Caenorhabditis elegans: one gene and its partners. The protein of the gene in region 1 interacts with the protein of each later gene in a pairwise test. Each region holds a gene or a part of one and is shown on either strand. Other genes may lie near its edges.

The links. Proteins that work in one complex are often made in the same cells at the same time.
Region 2: the proteins of hmbx-1 (region 1) and C18E9.8 interact in a two-hybrid assay, tested with the Caenorhabditis elegans proteins (one large-scale study listed by BioGRID).
Region 3: the proteins of hmbx-1 (region 1) and irx-1 interact in a two-hybrid assay, tested with the Caenorhabditis elegans proteins (one large-scale study listed by BioGRID).

Annotation. Positions count from the first base shown.
Region 1 is NC_003279.8:985,871-993,526, forward strand, and holds hmbx-1 (Homeobox-containing protein 1), read left to right. Parts: upstream 1-3,800; 5' UTR 3,801-3,812; coding exon 3,813-4,272; intron 4,273-4,650; coding exon 4,651-5,168; intron 5,169-5,625; coding exon 5,626-5,922; 3' UTR 5,923-6,308; downstream 6,309-7,656. UniProt on the Caenorhabditis elegans protein: Transcriptional repressor which maintains cell fate asymmetry of AWC neurons in adults by repressing the expression of multiple AWC (OFF) genes, including srsx-3 in the AWC (ON) neuron.
Region 2 is NC_003280.10:8,984,253-8,991,614, reverse strand, and holds C18E9.8 (DUF7754 domain-containing protein), read left to right. Parts: upstream 1-3,552; 5' UTR 3,553-3,593; coding exon 3,594-4,067; intron 4,068-4,125; coding exon 4,126-4,458; intron 4,459-4,503; coding exon 4,504-4,758; intron 4,759-4,803; coding exon 4,804-5,219; intron 5,220-5,266; coding exon 5,267-5,401; intron 5,402-5,447; coding exon 5,448-5,595; 3' UTR 5,596-5,715; downstream 5,716-7,362. Other genes in the region: C18E9.9 (MARVEL domain-containing protein), read left to right, coding at 2,077-2,295, 2,796-2,900, 2,953-3,108.
Region 3 is NC_003279.8:9,534,818-9,544,371, forward strand, and holds irx-1 (Putative iroquois-class homeodomain protein irx-1), read right to left. Parts: upstream 6,150-9,554; 5' UTR 6,069-6,149; coding exon 6,048-6,068; intron 5,516-6,047; coding exon 5,054-5,515; intron 4,854-5,053; exon of another isoform or gene 4,714-4,853; intron 4,459-4,713; coding exon 4,099-4,458; intron 3,599-4,098; coding exon 3,388-3,598; intron 2,382-3,387; coding exon 2,302-2,381; 3' UTR 1,648-2,301; downstream 1-1,647. Other genes in the region: C41G7.7 (uncharacterized protein), read right to left, coding at 67-178, 225-245.

The sequences.
Region 1 (7,656 bases):
AACCACACCAAAAAGTCGAAGATCCGCAAAATCTGCACTTGAAACACTATTTGACAACCCCCGTCTCAGGCTATCAAAAATGCATGCAGTCATATATATGTGCAGCTTGTGAAACAAAAAACGAGAGGGATCAGGGGCTCAGTGCTCAAGGTAGATGTGCAACTCTATGAAATTGATCGGTTATGCATGGCAAGTAAGAGTGACAGGGAGCGAAGTATGATGATGATGATGATGATGGTGTGGAGAGAGCGCAACGTATGAGTTATTGAATTTTCGAGAAAGGTTATCTTTGATGGGGGGGGGGGGGGGGGGGGGCAGTTCATGGTGCATCGAAATATAAAAACTTTCGTGGAGATACGCTTTTTGAAGAATTTTGTGACACCTTCTTGGTGCATCGAGACAGTTTTCGTGGCAAGACCTGATTTGGTTGAAACTCTGAAGCCAAATCGCGCTCTACGATTTTGTGACCAGGCCAAGGTTTTGGTGGCATGGTGCATCATAGTAAAAATTCAAATCCTGGGAAAAAAAGCTCTATATATAATATCCAGCCATGGACCGTACCTCCGGCGTGGCCCCCTTCTGGAGCTAAAAACTAATTTTTCTAAAACTACCGTAACCCTACAGTATTCCTACCGTACCACTATTGTACCACTACAGTACCCCGACTATATCCGTACACTAACCCCAACTCACTATTTATCCAGAAGCCAAAATTTCACAGACTACAAAGACTACATAGACTACAAACTATGAACACACTGAATAAGCGCTTCATATATATAGTGAATGATGGTGAGATCCATGTGACATGGTGCATTGTGACAGGCATTTTGGGAAGGGGGCTTTGAGCACAAAACAAAATCTTTAGTTATTTTTCCGACAATTTCCAATAAAGTGAAGTTTAACAAGGTCGTGGCGTACTTGTTTCCAGTTTCCTCACGAGTGTTGCATATTATACCGCCAGTAATCATTGCGTTATCACATAGTTGACAACGGTTTGATAATGTCACAAAGTGTGGGGGTTTTGGAAGTGGCATCAAACCAGCATACGATTATTAGGACGTGATGAACTTATTTTACCTGAACATATTATTAGGTGGTGGAGCTGGGAGCTTAGTATTTGGGTTTTGAAACAATGCACCATGTCCTAAAAGATGCTTTATTGCTAGGTAGGGTGCCGCGACTTTTGTATTCATTATAACAGGTTCAGTTCCGATGCATCTGCATTTTTTTAATACTGTTCTTATTCTTAGCTCAATAATTCAGGCTGAGGGCCGCAGGCCCGAACACTTTTGGAAACTGTGGGCCAGCTTTAATCCTATTCCAAGCAAATTGTTATTCGCTCAAGCCAACTAACCAGATTTCCTCAAACTTTAATCGCTCATATCTCAGCTCAAAACCATAGCAGAGACTTCGTTTTTTAATCAATCGATCCCAAATTTTAAGGAAATCTCGAATATCCCTATCTCAGGTTTGAGGCGAAGCCGAGAACCTGCGCAAGCTACCTTTTTGGGCATCCCCATTCCCGAAAGGCTGGCGCGGCCCTGCCGCGCTAGTCATTTGCCAAAACGTCAAATTGGGTCATGTCACGATCCATAATGCCTTGAAGGGTTCTTCTGCAACAGTCCTAAAAGAAACTTAGCACTCTGGTTGAGGTATAGATGCACCATGTCCCAAAGGGTCCTGCCATGTTGGGACATGTCACGATGCACCATGTCCTGAAAGATCCACGCTCGAAAACTACATTGTTCCGAGTGTTTACCTCTATTTCAATACGAAATTTCAGCAAATTTTCATCCAAAATCATGTCATTCTAACAAGAGCCTATCATGTTGACTATAGGGTCGTGACGACCTGCTCGAGTTCGCCTCGCTCTCCTGTTATCAGAATAGCTATGCGTTAAGTACGCGATGTATTGACAGTCACGATTTAACGCTTCAGTTTTGTAGTTTTGCTGGAAATTTTTGAGTTTTTCGTTTTTTCTTGGCTCAAATCGAGTTTTGCTTTTTTGACGATTAAATAATTTATTCAAACTTAGCGCATTTTTTGACTGATTGTGAGACATGATGCATCGTGACAGGGCTTAATCGTGGCGAGACCCTCTAGTACAAAATTCTTTTAAATATCAGTAAAAGCATTATAATCCATGATTCTATACTTATTTTATGGAATTTTCAGCCTTAAAAAAATCTGAAATTTACGATGCTAAAATCTACTCAAATTATAGTTTCAATCCAAAATTTCTCAGAAAAACTAAAATTAGCATAAAAATGTTTTGTCTGAAATAGCCCTAGATTCAAATATCCCTAACACCCCAAAAAACACCAATGTACATCTCCTCTCCGTAAATATGTAGTTTTACAACCGCCTCTCTGTTGACTGGGAGCCATAAATGTAGATATATTATCTTTCCAGATCGCCTGCCGGCCCCTCCCACCTGATTGTAAAACTGCTCTTTGCTGTGGCGTTTTATCGACTTGTTTTTCTTATATATTCCATTCTACATACCTTAACACATTTTCTTGTATATTTTCTATACACTTTTTTAACTATAAAAAAATGCAACTCCTTTTTCTTCGATTTCTTTTTATGCAAATTTTTTGGCTTAAAGGTGGAGTAGCACCAGTGGGGAAATTGTTAAAAACCACTCCTTTGGTCCGAAAAGTACCGAATATCATAATAAAACTTTTCAATATTTTTTTGAAATTTTTTTATTCACAGTCAAAAAGTGACAATTACTCAGTTTTTGCCACTCATAATTTTGGAAGTCGACCAAAATGTTTTTTCTAGATTTTTTATAATGTAATTTTGTTTTAATTATTTGTATTAAAACATTGTAGGACAAGACAGGGCCGCAACATAAGATATTGCTTTGAATTTCCTCAAAAGCTCATATTTTTCAGAATTTTGGCAATTTGCCAAAACTTGGTATTTAAAAATTGTTAGAGATAACTGTATTTAGACAAAACATAGAACATTTGTATTTCAAAATAGTTCAAAATTCTAGTTTTTGAAATTTTGCGGCCAGACTGACCCCCACGATGCACCATGACAAATTGCAATTTTTTTTTCAAAAATTGTTTTCCAAAGGGGCGTGTTCCAAACATCTGACCCAAGTTTTCCCGTAGTTCTTCTCTCCCCCAGCGGGGTAAACACTGCACTTTACGACTCCGCCCAGTGCTTTTTTTTTCGCAGAAACTGAGAGAGAAAGAAACATCTGCGTCTCTCTCCCCCAGTACGCTCGTTCCCGCCCCCCACCTCGATCTGCCAGACCACACCGACCTGATTCGAGATTCCTTTTCTTATATGTATATGTTTTTGGAGAGGTGATCTTGTTTTTTTTGTTTCTCCTTTGGTTTTGTTCTCTATGCTCTGAACTTTGGTCTCCTACTTTTCTACAGTTTTTTTTTAAATATCCAAATTTTTGAAATAGAGGGTTGATCTACATGACCCCCATGCTTAGTCTACTATAATGCTATATCTGATGTTCCTCCGAATGGCCTGGTAGGTGAAGGCTTTTAGCCCAGTGAGCCGGCTTACCAAGTCTAGGACCATGGTTCTTACAACTTAAGGCCCAAAAAAAGCAGGCATCTGGCCTAACTTCCCCCTCACTAAATCTGTAGTAATATATAATTTCTATCATACTCCATCTTTTTTTTCTACCTCTTATCATGTTGTTATTGAGCAGCAACGCCCTTATATTGTTTGGTATATATATTTGATATAAAACCTCGTAGTAAATTTTATTTTACACAACAACATTTATTATTTACTTTTTTCATACTATTTTTTTTTTGCAGAACGAAAAAAAAATGCTATTCACAATTGAGCAACTGGAGCTCATCAAAAAGCTGCAGCACACCGGGATGTCATCCGATCAGTTGCTCAAGGCTTTCGGCGAGCTGGAAGTTCCAGAGCAGCTTCAGAATAACAACACAATTGCCGCAGCCCTGTACAGCCCACTCCTGGTCCAACATCTCACAACACCCAAATCAGAGACTCCAGTCAAACTCACCGTGCAGACAGTGCCGACACCTGTGAAGTCAGAGCCACAATCTTCAAATTGCTCATCACCATTTGAGCATCCGATATGCTCGAATGCTCCGCGGCCGATTAGGAGTCAGCGAACGCCGATGAAGGAGATTACCACACTGGACGATCCGAATGAGCTGGAGGAGTTTATGAAGCAGGGCGAGGAGGCGTGCATTTTGGATATGAAGACGTTCATCACACAGTACTCGTTGCGGCAGACTACGGTAGCAATGATGACAGGTTAGTTCCCAAAAAAGTGTAGTGGAAGAGTTTTTTTTCTAAAATCTAGGCCGTGACCAGAAATAAATCAGAATACATCCCCGGCGCCTAGATTCCTAATCTCTGCTGTTAGCCACAGTGCAATTGAGTATTACTGTAGTTGATTCCTTCTATGACGTCATATGAAATAAAGTTGGCTAAAGGGAAAAGGGGACTCTGGATCTTAGGCGAGCAATTCTCTGCAGCCGGCACCAGAATCGATCCCCCGGTGCCTGGATATCTATCCTTCGCTGTTAGCCACTGCGATATGCCCCACCCGCGCTGAGATCGAACCGAGGCGTCTGAATTCCTAGGCGAAGTTGCTACCCACTGCGCCATGTCAATCTTCTAAATTTCCAGGAGTAAGCCAGCCGTACATTTCAAAATTGCTCAACGGCAACCACCGTGAACTATCGCTCCGTTGCCGTAAGAACATCTACTGTTGGTACCTGAACTGCCGACGTCATCCCAACAAACTCGCTGCCTTCCTCGCCGATCCGACAACTCGCCTCGAGACGAATGGAGATGGCGAGCTGATCCCACAACGTCGAGAACGCTACGTGTTTCGTCCAATTCTGATCCGAATGCTCGAATCGTTCTTCACACAAACGCCATTCCCAGATCTTCCACGGCGAGTCGAAATAGCGAATGCTTGCAATCACGTTCTGAAGATGGATAAGAAAGGTGTTGGGTTGATGCCAAAGGAGGTGGTCAGCCCTCAAGTCGTTTCGAATTGGTTTGCAAATAAGCGGAAGGAGTTGAGAAGAAGATCCGCTGAAGCTTCGGCCGCCTCCACCTCGTCCGCTTCGTCTTCTGCGTCATCGACTGCTAATCATGATTCTGTCAGTGTGTCCAGCATGAGCCCTCGCGATGAAGAGGTGAGAGTTTTAATTTCTCGGCCACGCTGTACTCTGGGTGGAAGAATTTTTTCTAGGTCTTATAAGGAATCGCCCTCCGGTTTTCCCACAAGTTAAGTCATAAACATGTACCATCTAGAGGTTAAATTTCTGGAGTTTTATTTATTTGAGAGTGATGGTAAACCTGTCAGTCCTTGGCAAACATGTGTCTGTTTGGTCTCAAGGTCTAGGTCTAGGTCTAGGTCTAGGTCTAGGTCTAGGTCTAGGTCTAGGTCTTGGTCTAGGTCTAGGTCTAGGTCTAGGTCTTGGTCTAGGTCTAGTTCTAGGTCTAGGTCTAGGTTTAGATCTAGGTCTAAGTCTAGACACAAATTTCTAGGCCACGAAAATTTCTGCCGTGGCCTAGGATTTTTTAGGCCATATTCTAGGCCATGATCCAAAAAAAACTTTCCCTGTCTCCTCTAACCCATTTTTTTTGCAGACAAGCTCCCGTAACACAACCCCGGAGACAGCAATCTCCCCGTCACCAGCAGTGTCCACTTTTGAAGTGTCCCGCCCGTCTGCCATCATCTCTGCCACGTCATCAACAACCTCGCCAATCTCAATTCCAGCAACAATCATTCCATCAGTATCGCCGTCAGCTCTCGAACTTTTCGCCATGGCCCAACAGCTTGGAGTTCAGCTTCCGGTTCCATTTCCAACATTGCCAACACACTTTTTCCCGTTTCAAATGGCTCCGTTCTACGGGAACCCGGCTTCTATTTTGAAGTCTGAGTGAAGCATTTCTAATTTTCTTTTCTTCTTTTCTACACCAATATCTTTTTTCCATTTATTCAACTTATTCTTCATCCCATGACACGAAAACCTCAATTCTTTCATATTACAAACGATGCTCCGTTTCTTACGCCCTGCCCCACACACGCCCCGTCGTCCAAAAATCAATCAATAATCGATTTTTCATAATATTTAATTTGTTTTTTTTGTGTTTCACTGCTGTTTTAATATTTGAAAAGTACGAGTTTCTTCAAAAACATTTTTTGAATAATATTTGCTTCACACTCCACGCGTTTCGTAATGTATCGCTTGCCCTGAAATTTTGTTGGAAATTCCATTTTTTGTGCAATTTTTGTTATTTTTCAAGCGAGAATAAATATTTTCTAGTTCTAGAATTCAATGAAATACTTTGCAAACGCGCCCCATTGCACTTGACCGAGGGGTGAAACAAGTTCAGTGTTTTCAAGATATTTTTTTTTAAAAACTTGAATTTGGAACAATACAAAAATCTGTAAAATGCAACAGTTTTCCAAATCTTGTCCACGTGGAGTACACAATAATTTTTCATCTATACGGAAAGATTTCAAAATTGGAATGTTAAATTATTTTGTGGTTTCTAGGCCATGGGAAAACTAGGCCATCAAAAAAATTCCAGAGTGACCTGGAAGTTCTAAAACTTTGTTGAAACTTGTCCACGCGGAGTACACTGGTAGTTTATCAATAGAGCGCAAGTAATAATCCCTTGGAATTTTCCTTTCACCACCCCCTCTCCATTTTATATGAGAGTTTTTTCCCTCGCAATTTCCCACGCTCAAGAGGGTGGCCGCCATTTTTTTTTTGAGGGGGGTCGTATCTAGATTTGAAACACGTCATTTATGCTCAAAATGTGCCAATTTTTATTGTTTTTGAGTTTCTAGGCCATTTTGGTAAGTTAGGCCGCATACTGACTTTGCGACTTCCAAGGATATGGCCTAGCTTTTTTTTCTAGGCCATATAATTTTTTGAGTTGCAACTGTGGCCAATGTTTTTTTTGGGTTTCTATGCCACTTGTGAAAAGTTAGGTCATAGAATAACCTTACGGTAAACGGGTCCTCACAATCAGGAATTGTGGCCTAGTTATTTTCCTAGACCACGTTTGATTTTTGTCTTTCTAAGCCAGGTTTGGGTCTAGCTCTAGACCTAGGTCTAGTTATAGGTTTAGGTCTATGTCTAGGTCTAGATCTAGTTCTCTCACGTGAGAAAATTAGGCCACCTTTCCCCCTAAACTCTATGATCTCAAAACTAAAACTACTTTCTAGAAAACTCTTCGAAAATCATAAAACCAATTTTTTATCACTATTTTCATGCTAAAATCCAATCAGAAATTGATCAGAAACACGCATATAAATATTACGACTATAAATTCATTTCTTTTTTTCATTTTTCCCTCCAGAAGGCTCTTGGCGAGAAAAATCTGCATATTTTTTCTACTTATATGTGTCGAGACATGTGATATTCCGGCCGGCGGTGGCTCTGAATGAATATTCAATTGAACGAGAAATATATATTCTCTCCAGAAGGCGTTTATATTATGTGTTGCTCCTGTTTCTGCTGTATTCGGCGTGGATTTGGTATGCTTCTCAGTGGAGTGCAGTTGCAGCATTTTTTTTCTTCAAATTTTGCAATACTCTCGAACTTTTTGCACTTTCAAGCCTTTTTTTGGGTTGCCTAGAACACTAGAATTTCTGGACTATTTTGA
Region 2 (7,362 bases), on another chromosome or scaffold:
ACCTTGGGTATTAGCTTTTCTGTTATATGTATAACTCTATTTAAAAATGCTTTCAAAAATATTTCAACCTTCAGAAAAGTTTTATAAGGTCTTCAATTTCATCAAACAAAAGAAAGTTTGATTAAACTTTCTAATAGCTTGTTTGGAAATCACAAAAAACTAATAAACCATTTAGCAACTTTCCGATTGTTTTCAGTTTTATTTAGTAAAATACAAAAATATATTTATTTGAAAACAAAAATTGAATCAAAGTTGGGCAATTACCAAAAATACAATTGGCAACTTTCATGTATTTTCGAGCATACATACCTACGCAGTTTTAACCTAGAACAAATATATGTTGCAGATTAATAATATATTTTTCTACATCTTGACACTACGTTTTAATTTTTAAAAATGTTGGATCAACATGCCGCAATAGGTTAATTTGTATAATTTGCGCATATCCCTGATGGGGATAACTTTATTTAAATTAGTGTTTTAAACGGGACAGACTTTTGGAAAAAATGAAGTTAGATCTTAAAGTTAAAGTATTTTCAGTAATGATTTATATAAACTCTTACAAAATATTTTGATTTTCAAAATGTTTTTCAAAGTTTTGGCAACCTGCCAAGTTGTTTAAATATGGTACTTTTTTCAAATTTTATGATTACTGTAGGCTAAAACCTAAACAATGTTCTGATCCGAACGATTGAAGCATCTTTAAAATATAAAACTCGTAGGATACTTTTTTGGACGACATACACAGTTTTGATATGTGAAACCTAGATGTTAGCCACTTTTTTCCAGATTAAAAAAAGTCAAATAATTTTTGTCCAATGATAAAATAATCTTACAATTAGCTACGTTTTCATGTAAAAGAAAGTTATTTTTTACAATGAAGTTTTAGTTGCACATATTTCGAACCAATCGTGCATAAATAAATGAAACACATATTCCACGTTTCGATGAATGTGTGTTTGATGGTGGTGATCCATGTTTGAATGGAAATGACTCAATTATTTGTTTGCATTGTGCGGATAAATGATGTGGCACAATCCATTCCTGCACACGGAGCTCTCTAACTTTTAATATTTCACAATTTGAAGGTTATATTGATAGTGAATGTCACTTGACTTTCTTCCTACATTTTAGACAGTTTCACGAGTTTATCAAGTGTTTCATAAGAAAATACATGCAATGACGTAGTTGTTTGTTTGTAAATGTCTAAATAAATTGAAATCAAAGTTACCTAATCAAGTCGTGGTTGGAAACAATAGTTAGTGTTTCACTGTGATCTGTGCTGTTTTTTTAACTAGTAGCAATTGTTTGTGTTTTCTAGGAGTACAATATTCAAATTTGGTCACCAGAAATTTAAAATTTTGAATACTCAGAAATACTCAATATTGGTAAAATCATGGAAATTTATAGAGAAATTGGAAATTTATCGGAGGCTCTCCATAAGTAGAGCACTAACAACTTTTTCGAAAATTGGTCTTGGCTCTAATATTTTTGCTCCCCCCAATTTTGATAAACATTTTTTAACTCACAGAAAAATTCGAAGCATAACGTTCATTCATAATAATAATTCACAATATTCTTTTGTTTTCTAAATGTTGAATTTTATAAGTAGACTCTTAAAACTGGCCGTCCAAAATTAATCGTACACTTTTTCTTAAAGTTTTTTTGAAATAGAATTAAGCTTACAAAACAAACGCCTTGAATTTGTATGTTCTGTTCCTTTTCCTCATTTTCCTTTTCTTTCAAAATTTCCCAACTTTTATTATTTCTTTATTTTTCTTCCTTTATTGTTCTTCACATACATTTTCCTTTTTTCGTCCTTTTTTCCCAATCGATAAAAGGAGTCTTTCTAGAACACAATACTTTATCACAAAATCATGAGAGAGAAGAGTGTTTGCTGAAAAGGTAGTTTATGCTGACTCAGAATGTTTCGGTGACCGGCTGACTCTGAAACCTGTTTCTTGTTTCTGTTTACTCGATTTTACCTCATTTCCATTGGTTCCCTATTGATTTTTGAAACTTTTGATATTTTACTTGTTTTTTTTCAGTAACTCTTTTATGATTTTTCAGAAAACAATGGCTTACAAAGATATGATGGAAATGCCTGGAGTGCTGAAACCAGCACTCCTGCTTCTCACACTTCTTCAAATTATCTTTATGGCTTCACCAGGAGTCCGTGGATGGTTTTGGTTCATTTGCCTCACATCGATTCTGGAATTTCTCGCGGCTATCGCAGTTGTTGCAGTTGTTTTCTTAGATTTAACTTTTACAAGATCGGGACAGTTTGTGATTATTGTGAGTGAGAATTTTAAATCAATAGCGAATGCAGTAACTTCTTGGTAAAATTTTCACTCGTTTTTGGCAGAAATTTTACAACTTATTTGAGAGGTGTTTAATGAGTTGTCGCCGATTGTTTATATTGATAGTCGGGAAATTAAAGAATAAGCTGATTAAATCGATTTGTACTACTATTTGATTTGACTTCAGAATGTGCTCAAAATGTTGCTAAATGTTGCAAAATGTTGCTAAAAGCTGAACTCTCGCTCTCCATAGGCAATATCTATTCACATCAGCTAAGAATATGTATAGGTTCGAATATATTTAGGCTATTAGTAATGTCTCTTAAAATATTTGCAACTATTTTAACATGATAATCAGGACGAGTTCATTCCTGCCTGTCTGATTTCTTGTCTACCGTAATTTTTCTATAATACTGATTCTACTATCAAATGTTTCATTGATGTGAAAAATGTTATAAAAATGCAGGCAAAAAGTTTTAAAATAATTTATTTCAGGAACTCGCATACAGTGGAGCATTCTGTGTATGCAGTGCTCTCAACACTATTTACTATTTTTGCAATATCTTCTATCATTTCAATTTTTGGTTCCTTTTGGCAACTGTTTGTTTTTTAAGATACTAAAACTTAAGAATCAGTATTATTATATTTTCAGATTGTATCGGTACTTCTTGTACTAGCATATGGTCTTCAAGCACTCATGGCTTGGACTTCAATGTCTGCTTCAAGAACTTCTTCTTCACACACTTCAAACCAAGCAACTGCTGGACCACCACCAACAGTCTATCCAGCCGGAGCCAACCCTGCATAAGCTTTGAACAAAAACGAATTTTAACGGTTTATAGCTCTTATTTATTTTTTAACGAGACATCACAAAAACCCCTTCTTTCTCACTCTTTTCTCTTGCTCTCCTACATTTGACATGTTGACATTTTTGAACAAAATAAAGTGTTTCCTTTAACTAGTTAAAATATTTTTGGAAGCTGAGGATAACGGCGAGGCTTAAACAAGAGTGCATCTAGCCCGCATCTGTCCTCGCCCTCATTGCAAAAGCTTCATTTCCCGATTTGCAAGTATGGTAATGTGTAATGACATTTGTTGAGACGCAGTTGAAGTTGAAAATGGCTAAATGAAAAAATAATTGGCGTTTCTTTTCAAAATTAATTTTCAAAAAATGACATCCGTGGCCTTCCATTTTTCAAATACCACGTCACAACAAAACAACCGAATAACCAGAAAACTACAAAATAAATTTATTTCACAAAATTTACAAGACGTAGAAGCGAAATCAAAACAATGTCGCTATCGGAGCTGTCAGTTCTGTCTGCTGAAACTGCAATCAGTTTTCACGAAATGGATTTGGAAATTTTGAAGGAGAGTCAGAAGGCGTTGAGGGAAGAAGCTGGAGGAAAAGAAGAGGTGGAGGAAACAGTGGAGAATCCGAATCCAATTGTGTTCATTGCCGTTGATGATCAGAATCTACCAAATGGAGAGGAAGAGGACTCATTCATCTTCGAAAAACTTCAGTTTCGAGTCAAGCAAGTTATGGAAAACGGTACTCGTCGTGTATATCTTTCTGTGCAAGCAACAACTCCTGCTGAATGGCAACTTCTTGTTCAACTCAGAATCAAAACTGGATGTCAGTCGAATATTTTGAATGTTGTTGATAAGGATGTTTATAAATTTGATTCATTTTCATATCCTCTGAACGTGGAAATTCAGAATAGTGACGTCAAATTTTTGAAATTTGAAATGAGAGTGTTGAATTTGGTGAGTTTTTTTTTTTGAGATTATAATCTATTGATCTGTAAATTATAAACTATTTCAGATGTACCTGGATCTCCCAACTTTTGAGGAAGGTGATGAAGTGATTGAATTCGACGATGGATCTCGTATTCGTGTTCATTCAAACATCCTCTCCCTATTGTCGGATTATTTGGGAAAATCGGAAAAAGAGTACGCATCTCGTACGGATTGCCCAGCTATCAAAGCAACTTGCTCTGAAAAGGAAGCATTCCTCGAACTTCTTTACCAAGCATATCCTACTCGCCGTCCAATTTTCGCATCATTCCGTCGTTTGACAGCTGGAGCCGTTGGTTACAAGTGTGACAATTTGATTTATCAGTTGTCGAAACATCTCATTGACTACAATTACAGACCGGTTTGAAGTTCTTTTATTTGAAATTTTCTAATGAACTATTTTCAGATGACATTCTTGCAACGCTTTCAAGCAGCGATTGAGAATAGATTGGAGCCTGCTATCAGTGAACTTGCATTCCGTGCAGCTTTGGACGGAACATGGAACCAGATGATTCAATCAGGATTTGAACCTGAGAACTTCTGTGGTCGTCAAGTTTACACGAAAATTGTGTGCCCCGCTATCTTGCTGGCAAGAAATGCAAAGCCCGATGCGACAACTTTGAAGAAGCCCGAGAACAATTTGAAATTTATTGAATTGGAGGTAATCCAATGTTGAACAAAGTTTAATATAAAGTAGTTTATTTAGGAGGGTGACACTACCAAGTCTGCAATTCTATTCCGTGGAACCATCTTCTACATCAACAGTGGGATACTTGCCGCTCATGGAAAGGAAATGCTTTGTATTGGTCAAAATGGAGAATACATTGCTCGTTACACTGCAGAATTTCATCGCGAATGTGCTCGTGGAGACTTGATCCCTGGCGAAGTTCTTGTTCAACTTCTCACCTACATGCATCCAATGGGAGAAGTTCCTCATCCGGATATGATTCGTGCTTGCATTGTTTTTGCTTTCGATCATGGATGGAATATTGTCAAGGAAAACTTGGAAAATGAATTTGAGCCACCAATTACACCAGATGAGTACATGTCGCAATTGATGTTTGGAGACAAGTTTGATCTCAAAAACTTGCTCCGTGTCAATATTCAAAGAGCCGAGTCAAGGTTTGTTTCGAGAAAGTTCCAATTAATCACTATGTTTCATATTTCAGTTGTCGTGAACTTGCCGAGGTTTTGGAGAGACATGGAAAACTGAAAATCTTGAAGGATCGTACTCATGAAGGAATCATGGACAGAATGTGCAGTGGATGGGGACTGAATCCAATGGTCAATCGGCTTTCTACTAGGTTTATTAGTTTAAGTTTTCATTCATTCAACAACTTACTTCTACAGATTTCCTACAACTTTCCACCACCGTACTGTCAATTTGCAACGTGGTAAAGCAGTGGTTGTTGGAGAAGGTCGAGCTGTTGACACGTTGAACTCTCTGGCATCGGATCACGCATTTGGAGAACCAACGGAGCTTATTGTCGTCGACTAGTATTTTTCGTAACTTCCTGTATGATTTTTAATGTTTTTTATTTTCTCTATTTGCTCCGGACTTGTGATTTGTAATGCTATGCTTCTCCAACCATTCTCTATAAAGCATTTCTTCGATCATACACCTCCCTTTGTGCACTTTTTGCAGAGAATTACAGAATTAAGCTCCGAACACATGTGTCGTTCGGGTCGATAATCCGAAAATACGCAAAAGCGCCTGAGTTGTGCTCTTTTCTGCTGCTTGCTGCTGCTCGGAAGACAGTCTCAGTAGCCCGGAGGGACTCTCCCGTAGCGGCTCCCGTTGAGGGACATTGCGGCGTGTTGAGCAAATGCAAACAATGACCGGATGGTATGTGCGTGCGTCTCCGCCGATCAGCATGCTTCTCGCCAACTCTGGAATCGTCGTATTTTGCCACTTTTCTGCTATTCCACCTCTCTTTCTCTCTAGCTGCCTGATCCTTTCACAGTCATGCCAAAGTCTTTCGTCACTGGTTTCTTTTTTGTTTCTTCGTTCGCTTAATTTTCGGAGCCTAATCTTTTCAACTTTTTAGAAAGTTTTCCAGTTTTCTCTTGATTCGTGTGCACTCATTTTCCTCCCAAAAAATTTCAAAACTGATTGTTCAATCCCGTGATTTCAATTTTCTGCCAGTTCGGAAGTTTGACATTTTATGAGACTTGGTGGTTAGCTCACATCAGGATTCACATTCCACGAAAATTTTGTTATATGTTTTCCGAAATTATTTTTTCCCATTATTAAGATTTTGCAAAACCTTTCAGTTACCACAAAATGTACATTTCCCAATAAGAAAGGAAGTTAAACGATTACTTTTGAAATTAACAAACGTTTGGTTATGTATCAAAAATAACCCCAGACTACTTCGTGTTTCTGAATCAATTTACTTTTCCATGTTGAAACCTTTTCAAGAAATTACTTAAACAATTAAGCTCGTTTGAAACCTCATCATCCGACATTTGTTCAAACAGACTTCCTATTCAAAAAACAAATGTCACAAACAAAAACGTCGTCGTTCTTGCGCGGAGCCGAAAATACGAACTGTTGGCTGGTGGTGGTGGGGGCTCCCATTGTCACTTCTTTGCCTTCGAGTTCGAATTTCACAACTTACACCTCACTAATTTGTGCGCAATTCTTGTTCCCTTTTCGGAAGATTCTTTTCTTAGTTTTTGGTTGGTCATTTGGATGGTAGGGGGAGGAGGAGACAGGAAAAGTGGTTAAGCTCGGCTTACAATTGGTCGAACCGTTTTTTTCACTTACGTTGATCGCAGTTTTTGTGCTTTTAATTAATTGTTTGTTTTGTATACTTTTTCGAAATTCTTTTAAATGCAATGTTTTATTACGGATGTTTTGTACTATTGATAAAAGTTTTTAATCGAGAAAGTTACCGCACGGCTTATAATTTTTATGGTAAACTATAGTAGGTCATTTCAAAACAAGTTATTACAAAAAATAATTTTTTGGTACCTATATGAGTACTTTGCTTCATAAACTAATCTGAGCTTCTTCTAATTTTCAACTCAGTTTTGTTTCCCGGTTGCCCTTTCCTCTTGAAAACATTCCTTATGTCTGTCCACTTGTGCGCTTACTCATTGTATCCATGTCAATTATCGCATGCTTCTCAAACACTTCCGTGCTCCAATTCCATTGCTCTTGCCCTCCCGCACTCATTTCAAAATGTTTGCAAATTCCATTTCGTTGTTCTTTCGGTCAATCACAACAATCCGGAACCCCGGACACCATAAAATCGAAATG
Region 3 (9,554 bases), 8.5 Mb from region 1:
ATTTGCTATTTACAAATTTCGGGAGTTATATAAATAAATAAAATCCCATTATAATGCATTGATTACCATTATTCCATGGAGGACGGTTATCCATAGTTGACTGGCTTTGACCATTTTGATGAGGTTTTCGGCTTCGAGACCTTTTTCGATCTTTCTCAATACCATCCCGGTGAACATCCTGAAAATTTAAAATTAGTAAAAATTAAATTAAGCGGGTAACTTACATATCGGTCAACGTTTGACATTTTTGAGATGTTTTTGAACAAATAATGAAAAAGAAAGAATGGTGAAAGGATTTCTTGAAAAATATTTTATGTGCTCAAATGCGCAGGATGTATCCATAGAGACAATTCACTTGCTCATGCTTTTCCAAATTGTATAGTCATGAATAATGGAAAAAAGAAAGAAACTTTGAAATGTTGAAGGATAAAAGCAAATACAGCATAGAAAAATACCACATTTTCAGGTATTTCAGGTATTGATTTCTACAAGTTTAATTGATAATAGCAAGTGTTTAAAACAGTTAACTAAAGATTTGAAAACATTTTGAGAAGATTTTTTAATTTTCAAAGATGCAAAATGAGATTCCGGTATTGTGCCTAAATATTTTTTCTTTTTTTTTTGTATTTTGGAATAATGCGATTATTTCAAACGATTTAAAGCACATTCTGCCTTTATTGCATTATGTTATCTGAAATTAGAATCCACGATTAAAAATTATATTTTTTGAAACAGTTCTAAAATGTGGAACATTAAATATAAAGGTGGCAAATTTGGTTTTGTCTCATTTCCAAATTTTCCAAGAATCCAGACAACACAAATTCATTGTTTTCTAAGCTTCACCGATGTTTGTTTAGACGTCGTTGTCGTATCTCATTTTCAATTAGGCGTTTACATGGGTCACCGAGATGTGGAAAAATAAAGAGAAAATGCATGTAATTCCTTGTTTTTAGAGATATGGTGTGTGTGTGTGTGTCTAATGAATGAAATCTGCTGTTTTTGTTTTCACTGATTCATTTTTCACATTAATTTGAAACTACGCTTTGTAAATAGTAGGTCAAAACATTTAACAAGACAATACATAATCTGGAATTTTTTTATCAAGTGGAAATTTATTTATTTTATCAGATTTTTTAAGAATCATGATATTTCTTTTTAAAAAAAGCTTCCAAAATGTACATATGTCTACATTTACACATCCCCTAAATTTCAAGAGGTCGGCAAAAAACAGTAATGGGAAAATAAACTAAAAAGACTTCAATTGAATTTTTAAGTGGAAATTTAAAAAAAAAACGCTAAAACGTCTAAATATCATTGTGAACCTTTTCAGAAATTTTTATTTACAGCCAAAATGTGGTGATAACTTAGTTTTACCAATCATAATTTGACAGTCGACCAAAAAAAATATATCATCAACCAGTTTTATACGTTTTTAATTTTGTTTCTATAACCATTTGTGTTTTAAAAATTCTATGTTTTTGAACATGAAGCAATGCTCAAAATTACTTTAAAAGTGCACGTTCTTGATAACCGAAATGTTGTCACTAATTCAGCCTGCAATTCTTTGAAATGGTTGCAGTATTTTGTGCAATTAAATGTATATCCATTTTCATGATTTTTTGTTAGCTTAAAATATATTCAAGAAATAAATATTAAACCTTCTTCATTTTCTAAATTATGCGTGCAGGTTGTTGTATCTTTCTCACAAAAAACTGTAAATTGTCAAAGAAATGAGATGGGATTGTAAGAAAAGTGGGTTTGCGTGAAGAGATTTGAAGCGAATTGGTGGGAAAAAGCAAGAAAAAAAGAAAATTGTTTCTAAAGTACTCCAATTATTGGCGGGAAATTGAGAAAACCGATCATAAGCTCAAAAACTAGATGCATCCTGTGAAAAATTGTGTGGAATTGAAATAATAATAATGTTAATAATGTGAGAAAAAACTGGGAGAAATTGGGGGAAAAAATAGAGAAAGAGAGACAAAAAATTCATAGTCATGGAATTCATATAAAGTTTAAAAGAACATAAAAAAGCAAATGAATGAGAAAGAAAAAGCCTATATGGTGCTACAGTAACCGAATGAAATTTTTGATGGGATGTGAATATTTGGGAGACAATACTGTACTGTACATAGAGAGAGACCAAAATAATCGAAACTTAAATGGGATGGAGAAAAAAATGAAATTCAAAGACCCGCTGTTTATATCATATTTTCTCGATTTCAGAGTTCTTAGTGGAGGAGGTGAAACTTTGAGAGAGTACAATATTCATTTAAAAAAATTAAACTTAATAAGCTGGGGTTTCTACTCTTGGTGGGACCGTGGAGACGACGTTGGAGAAGATGCTGGAGATGGCGTCGACGTCTCCGCTTGAGAGTTCAGACCTGAAATTATTTATTCATTAAAATCAAGGCTTAAAAATTGTTCAAAGATTTTTTAAATATTGTATATTGCAATAAACCTAGGCACCAAGTCAATTAAGCTATATTTCAAAAGTTTTTGAAATTTTTAGTTTTTGAAAGTTTTAAGATTGAGTTGTGTGAAAAATGATCTGATTTTTTGAAAATTATTAAAATCTCCAAAAAGCTTTCAGAATGTTTTTTGCATCTAAACAACCTTAAAATCACTAAAATAATGTAAAATCCGGATTTAGAGCAGCTTGACATGCTTGTATTTGAAGGAATGCTCTGAGAAATTTCAGTTCAACGTTTCAAATAAGACTAGGCTTTCTAGTTTTTCCCCATATTGGTCAACTAGAATTGCTTTTACATGTTCAATAAGTTATAAGAAAGTGTTTCCCATCAACTATACGAACGGATCAAATCGGCAATTTATCATTCGGTGACTTGACTCCGGGAGCAGCGCTCCTTTTTTGGACAAAAACTGAGTGACGAAGAACACGCGGTTTAGAAAAACGAGCACACTAATCCGTGGGGTCAATGAGGAGACACTTACTTCAGTTTAAGCCCTTTTTCGTTGCCTTTGACGTTTCGAACAAAATTATTACATAGAAAAGAACTCCTCTTTCTGAGCTAAAACATTTGAAAAGGATCTAGAACTTAAGTGTAGACCCTCTTTTGTTAATGCCTATCTAGAAGCTGTAGCTACTGAACTTTCCCCTTATAATGTGTATCAGAAAACATACACCTATTATCAGTAAATATGGGATGATTAGTGCATTAAATAGCAAAAAAACTGAGCGTCACGACAGGATAACAACTTTAAAATTAAGAGGATTACGTTTCGACTTTTCTTGTTCATGTACAAGCACGCACGGTGTTCAACTAGCTGTCAATCATTCGGAATACCCAAAAAAAGAATGATAAGAAAAAGCAGACAGGTTGCCATGTAACAAAATGTAAGAAAAGTGTATTCACCTGCTCACCTCACCTGCTTCATTTGGAGGAGTTGTTTGTGGTGCCAAAAGTGCAAGTTGTTGCCCTTGAGCAGCTTGTTGGGCTAGAAGTTGGAACATGAATGGGTGCATTGTGTGACGGAACAAAGTTGGATCCAATCGTGCCATTACTTCCATTTGTTTTTTCATTGCGTTTTGGAACAAGCTTCCCGTTAATAGATTTTCGTCTGATGATGGTGGAGAATCCTAAATAAAAAGATGTTTGCTAGGGGTTACCATTATTCATCATCTTGAACTAAATTACTTCACTTTAACAACTTTATGAAAAATATAAGCTGCCAAAAGGCACTGCTGTATGCTTCAATGTATCTTCCAAGTACAGTAACCCATGCCTAAACTTTACAATATGACCCCCTGATCTCCCATCAATTCCTTAATGTACTTTATGAAAATGTATAAAACCATCATTCAATCATGTTTGTTGTTAAAGCGGCACAGTTTTGTCGGCTGCTTCACACTCACCTCACAAGTTTGCACATACACACATACAAATGATTCATACTAGTTTACATCTCTATAAAATGTGCAGAACAAGATGAAGGGAGAGGAGGACTCTTTATTTGCCCCTACTAAACATATAATAGTTTTTAAGTCCATTTCGTAAAACTGTTAGAATAAGAGGGAAGATGGGGAAAACTATAAAATCTGTACAATGTATTTTATGATCTAAACTTTTTTGCTCTCACCTTCTTTGATGAATCGTCATCTGAAGTGACATCGGCAATCGACCACATTTTTGGTTTACGCTTCGGACTTTCAGAATCATCATTTGGAATTGGGGATACTAGTTCTTTCTTCGGTGTTGTCAACTCATCTGATCCTCCAGATCCTCCCGAAGGCGTTGGTGATGCTAGATGTGGCTTTCCGAATAGGGATTCTCCTTTTCTTTCGGAATTTATGGATGTTGAGCTTGATGGACGGTTCATGTCATCATCATCGTCGTCTTCATCGTCATCACAACCATCGCCTCGTCGATTTTGTGGTGACCAAGTCATCTTGTTCTCCTTCTTCAGTCGTCTTCTGGCGTTAGCAAACCATGTCGAGACCTGTAATTAAAAATATAAATTTCAAGCTTCGGCTTTGTTTTTCGGGCTAGAGTTTATTTTAATAAAATAACTTCAAAGTTTTGGTTCAAACAATTTTAAAATCTAATTTTTGGCGCCAAGGTTGTGTGTTGTTGGTCTATTGCAACAAAATCAAACAAGTAGTAGCCCTATTTGGTTTGAAACATTTCTCGTATTGTGTAAAGAATGTCTCTCGAAACACATTAATTAAGCGGGGTACGAGGTGTCATCATCATCGCTTATCGCCTCTGTACATCTTTTGTTTCTCGCCCCTCTTTTTTTGGCATCGGTCAAAAAAGGAGACATTTGCCCCCGGGGTTTGATGGCCGGTGAGTGGCTAATGTTACAATAACACTGCGGGAAACACTGTCTACTACATTTTACAACAATATTTTTTGTGGTATTTGTAATTGATGACTAGAGGCGGCTCTAAAATCCCGTGTGAGCTAATAAATTGAGCAAATATTGTGGAGTAAATTACGAGATTACGGTTGGTAATAGGCTATTACGGCTATTAAATCATTTCACAGTGTTGCATTTACTAATTGTTGTCAAAACAAGAAATAATACAACATACCTGTGTAAGTGTCATTCCTGTACCAACTGCCAACATAACTTTATCAGCTTTTGATGGATATGGATTCTTTCTATGAGAATGAAGCCAATCTTTGAGTGGTGCAGTTGCTTCTCGTGTTGCATTTCTTTTCTTGATTCCATCTAAACCATATGGATGATATAAACGATGAGCATCACTGAAGAACATGGGCATCGGTCCTGGCCCTCCACCTAATAACATTTCTGGTTTCAGATCTGCTGGAATTCCATGTGGAAACATCGGAACTCCGGGGAAGCCAGCAAGAGTTGCTTGTTGAGCGGCGGCGGCGGCTTGAGCTTGAGCAGCGAGAACTTGAGCCATGGCAGGATGGAAATGAAATTGACCTAAAAGGTTTGGTGGCAGAATTCCGCGAAGTGCATCCGGAGCTGAAGTGGGTGGAGCAGGAGTCGTTGTTTGTGGTGTTGTGGGCTCTTCCATTTTGACCTGGAAATGGATTTACTTTTCTAGTCAGGTGAAGTGAAGGTATCCAAACGAATAAATCTGACATTTGGCATCTAAATTTTTTGGAAGGAAGTATTTTGAGACTGTGTTCAAATGTTGTCTAATCTAAGATTTATGTAAAAATTGGTAGGAATCGAAAACGAAAACCTTGTCCAAGCTTTGACAACTTCTCAACTGCAATTTTCTATATTAGACTTGCACCCCCCTCTTCCTTCACTTTGACAGTTTATATCTCAGTTCTTTGTGGTTTTATTAAAAAACTTCAAACGGACAATTTACTTGCAAAATAATTTTCTATGTTTTGGTTGTATAACACTTTTTGATAAAGCTGAAGGCAACCGAGATATAAACCGCCAAGCAGTGGCGGTGCAAGGTTAACATGGCAATTGGAAAGAGCAGGAAGTTGACTCCAAGTGTCAAGAAGGACAAAAATGAAATAAATAAATGTAAGAACACTACTTGAGAATATAGAAATTATAATTTAGCTTATTAAACTTATCGCTTAAAAACTGACCTGATTGGCAATAGGAATCATTGTGATGGTGTAGTAGAAGTAGATGTGTTGATCTCAGTACAAGTGCAGAAACAATAGTTGATAAGTATGATTATTTATGATCTGAAGAACACATTGATATCAGTTATAATTCCAGAGCAGTTTTTTGTTGAAAAAGATAGACAGAGAGAGTGAGAGAGAGGCAGAGAGGCGACGAAATCAAGAGGGAGCAAAGGAGGAGCGATTCAGTGATAAGCATAGAAGAGAAAGAGAAAAGGTTTGATTGATAATTCTTGAAGAAATTGAGATGATGTAGAACTATGTGGGACCTTATGTTCAACAACTTGTTGAGCAATCTCGATTTTCTGCAGATGCCCGCCCGGGGCCGTGTGTGTCTCTCTCTCTCTCTCAAGTCCCGCCCACCATCCAATAGACATGGAAGCCACAGGGCGGGGCCTGGAGAGTAGGGAAAGAAATTGAAGAAGCGCAAAAAACACGTGCGAACACGTAGATTTAACAAGATAAACCGGAGAAATTCACGAAGAGAAACGGAAAAGAATCGGAGTAAAGAGAAGTAGAAGAAGATGATGATGAAGGATACAAGAATCGAACGGAAAGAAAACAAATTGATGATATGGCAACTAAAAGAGATTGAAAGATAAACAATTAACCGTTCCAGCTAATGATTGTAAGAATGATGATGGTTTTGATATCTTACTATTTCATTGTTTAGTGTTATTATTTCCAAGTTTGATTCTAGAATTGTTATTTTTGTGCAAAAAAAATCTTTCGAACCTAATACCTCTCTACCTCTACCAATTATCAAGTTTGGGAATGAAAATTAAGAAATACAAGAACCAAAAATCTCAATAAATGTATTCACAAGGACGAAGAGCAAACAAGTTGTAAATTTGCTGGCTGGCTCACGAATGGAAACTGAAAATTGAAGCAAATAACGGGAAGAGGAAGCTTTGGAAGGATCATTGCATAGAGTTTAATCCGAAATATTGGCAGGATGAAGAGAAAAAAAGTATAAACATTTGAAAGTTAAAAAGTAAAACGACGGAAAATCTAGAGAGTACTATCAAATGACCCGAACACACAATGGCGCCACGAACAAAAAAAGGACAAAGGAGAAGAAGCTGAAATCAGTGAACTTAAGTCAAGAATGATACATCGTAGAAGCAATTAGGTAATGGTCAGAACGGTTTGTAGGGGGACAAGAATTGAGAGAATAGAAGTTTAAAATGGCATGTCTCTTGTTGTCCGAAGCGGGGTGTAAAGAAGTGTAGCTGCTGGATAGGGGGCGCCGGCGAGAGTAAGTGGCCAACGATGGCGCTGATGACGATGATGAAGAAAAAGAAAATGGAGAAGAAAAAGGTAAAAAAAGAGGACACGGTGTAATACATTTACTATTGTGTCAGTTATTGTGTTAACATCTCTCTTTGGGTCATTCGATCATTTAGTTATTACAACATGTAACAACAACACATATATAGTAACATAAAGTTGCAACAAAAAAAGTTCAATGGCGGAAGTTTGTACTAATACAGGAAGATGTAGGTACATATGAGCCAAACAAGACAAAAAGGTGTATGGTAGGGAGATTGATGTCAAACGATGATGAGAAAGCGATGGAGGAGGAGTCATTGGGCGGAGTCAATCGCCGGGGGAGGAACACGGGAGGTAGGAGGGTGTAGACATGAGGTCGCGGCACAATTTATGAGGAGCTGGAGCCAGAAGATGATGAAGCTGTGGAATTGAAGTAGAAGAAGCAACTAGTTAATGGGTTTTGGTGCTTTCCAGAGAGCGGTGTTGTTTTTTGTGAAAACACTGCTCACTTTTTTGTTAAATACATGGAATACGGTAGTGGTTGCAGAAAGGAAATACTTGGAGGTAATTAACGGAAAAGTTAAGCGTTCCGTTTAATCGAAAAAAGCGGGAGAAGAGTTGAATTCGACGGTGAAGAAGAAGTTGAATGTACCCAAGAGATTGAAGAACATTTGTTGATTTTTAAGAACTTCCAAAATAGTGGTTTTCCTAACTCATAAATGGGGTATTTTTCAACGAAGAAACTTGAAATGATCCAAACACGCAAGGCTTTTCCCTTTTAAAAGTTTAAAAGCTTCAAGCTAAAAACATTTGGTATAATTTTTAGGGATTTTCTTTGCCGCCGTTGTTTTTTATAGCTTTGTCACTAAAAAAATTTAAAGACCGTTAATCCAGAAAAATCAAGAGCAAAACCTGCTATCATAAACTTTTCATCGCGTTTTTTTATGAAAATGAAAAGTTTCTATATTGAATTTACTACTTGAATACCGAGCATTCGGATTATTACTTTGTTTTAACCAAGAGCAGATATAGAAAAATTGTCTGCCAGTATACAACTCTATTAAAGTTGCAATAATCTCTATGATACCCATAATATAAGTACGAGAGTGTTTTTGAATACATTGCCATATCTATAATTACAGTTCTTATTCTAACAGCTGGTAGAGACACCTTCTTGCCATTGTACCAAAACACATCGATCAACTCATACATCATGACACGTGTCTACAAAAAGGGGCATGAACTGGAAGAACTTTAGCAGGTGGGATATTTCAGATGGTACAACAATATATCTTAATCTGATCTTGCTATATAATATGGAAATTTATGTCATGTTATATACGTGGAACAGTAACCCAACTGTTAACATCGTCAATACCTGTAGTAGGAATTGATGAGATAAGACTGATACGCGGGACGATATATATTCATAAAAGTTGGTATTTACGAGAGGGAGAACAATCTAATATCACATTGTTTTTGCGCAAAGGAACATGAATTGCCGTTGTCGAAAAACGATGTATGGAGCCGAGGGGCGCAAAAAAAGTGAAATTGTGTGTTTTGTGTATGTTTCCTGTACACGAAGAGCGCGAGGAAAGAAATGTTCAAACACTTGACAATCCGTGTTAACGATATGTTTGTCTCAGATTATCGACGCTTAACACAGTCAGAGTGATGGGAAAGTGAGCATTATCGTTCGCTCGTTGGCACCACAACTTGTATTAGATGATCAAACTACAGTAATTGAGCACAAAAAGTGTTCTGTACCAATTGAAAATTTCAAACTAAAAATTATGGAAAATGATTCGGATGATTCAAATCTGCTTTGATGTCATTATCAACCGGAAAAATCGAAATGATTGTGTCCGTTGACGCAGCTCACAGGAAATGTGCACTTGCACAATGCGTGTTTCCGGCAGTAATGGTGGTGTAGATATTGAGTTTATATCCAGGTAATATAATTTCCGAAATAGATATTTGACATTTAATCACTAAATTTCCGCTTCATATATTTTTTCTGCAGGGAAATGATGTTTCAGAAAGCTCTATTAAATTGATGGTGAAATTTTTGAAAATAGAAAGAATTAAAAATTTTTTTTCAGAATTATAATTTATAAATCTAAATTTCTCCTGAAAACGTACTAAAAAGGAAAACTCGATAGGTTTGCCAAAATTCTTAAAGGCACTACAATCATT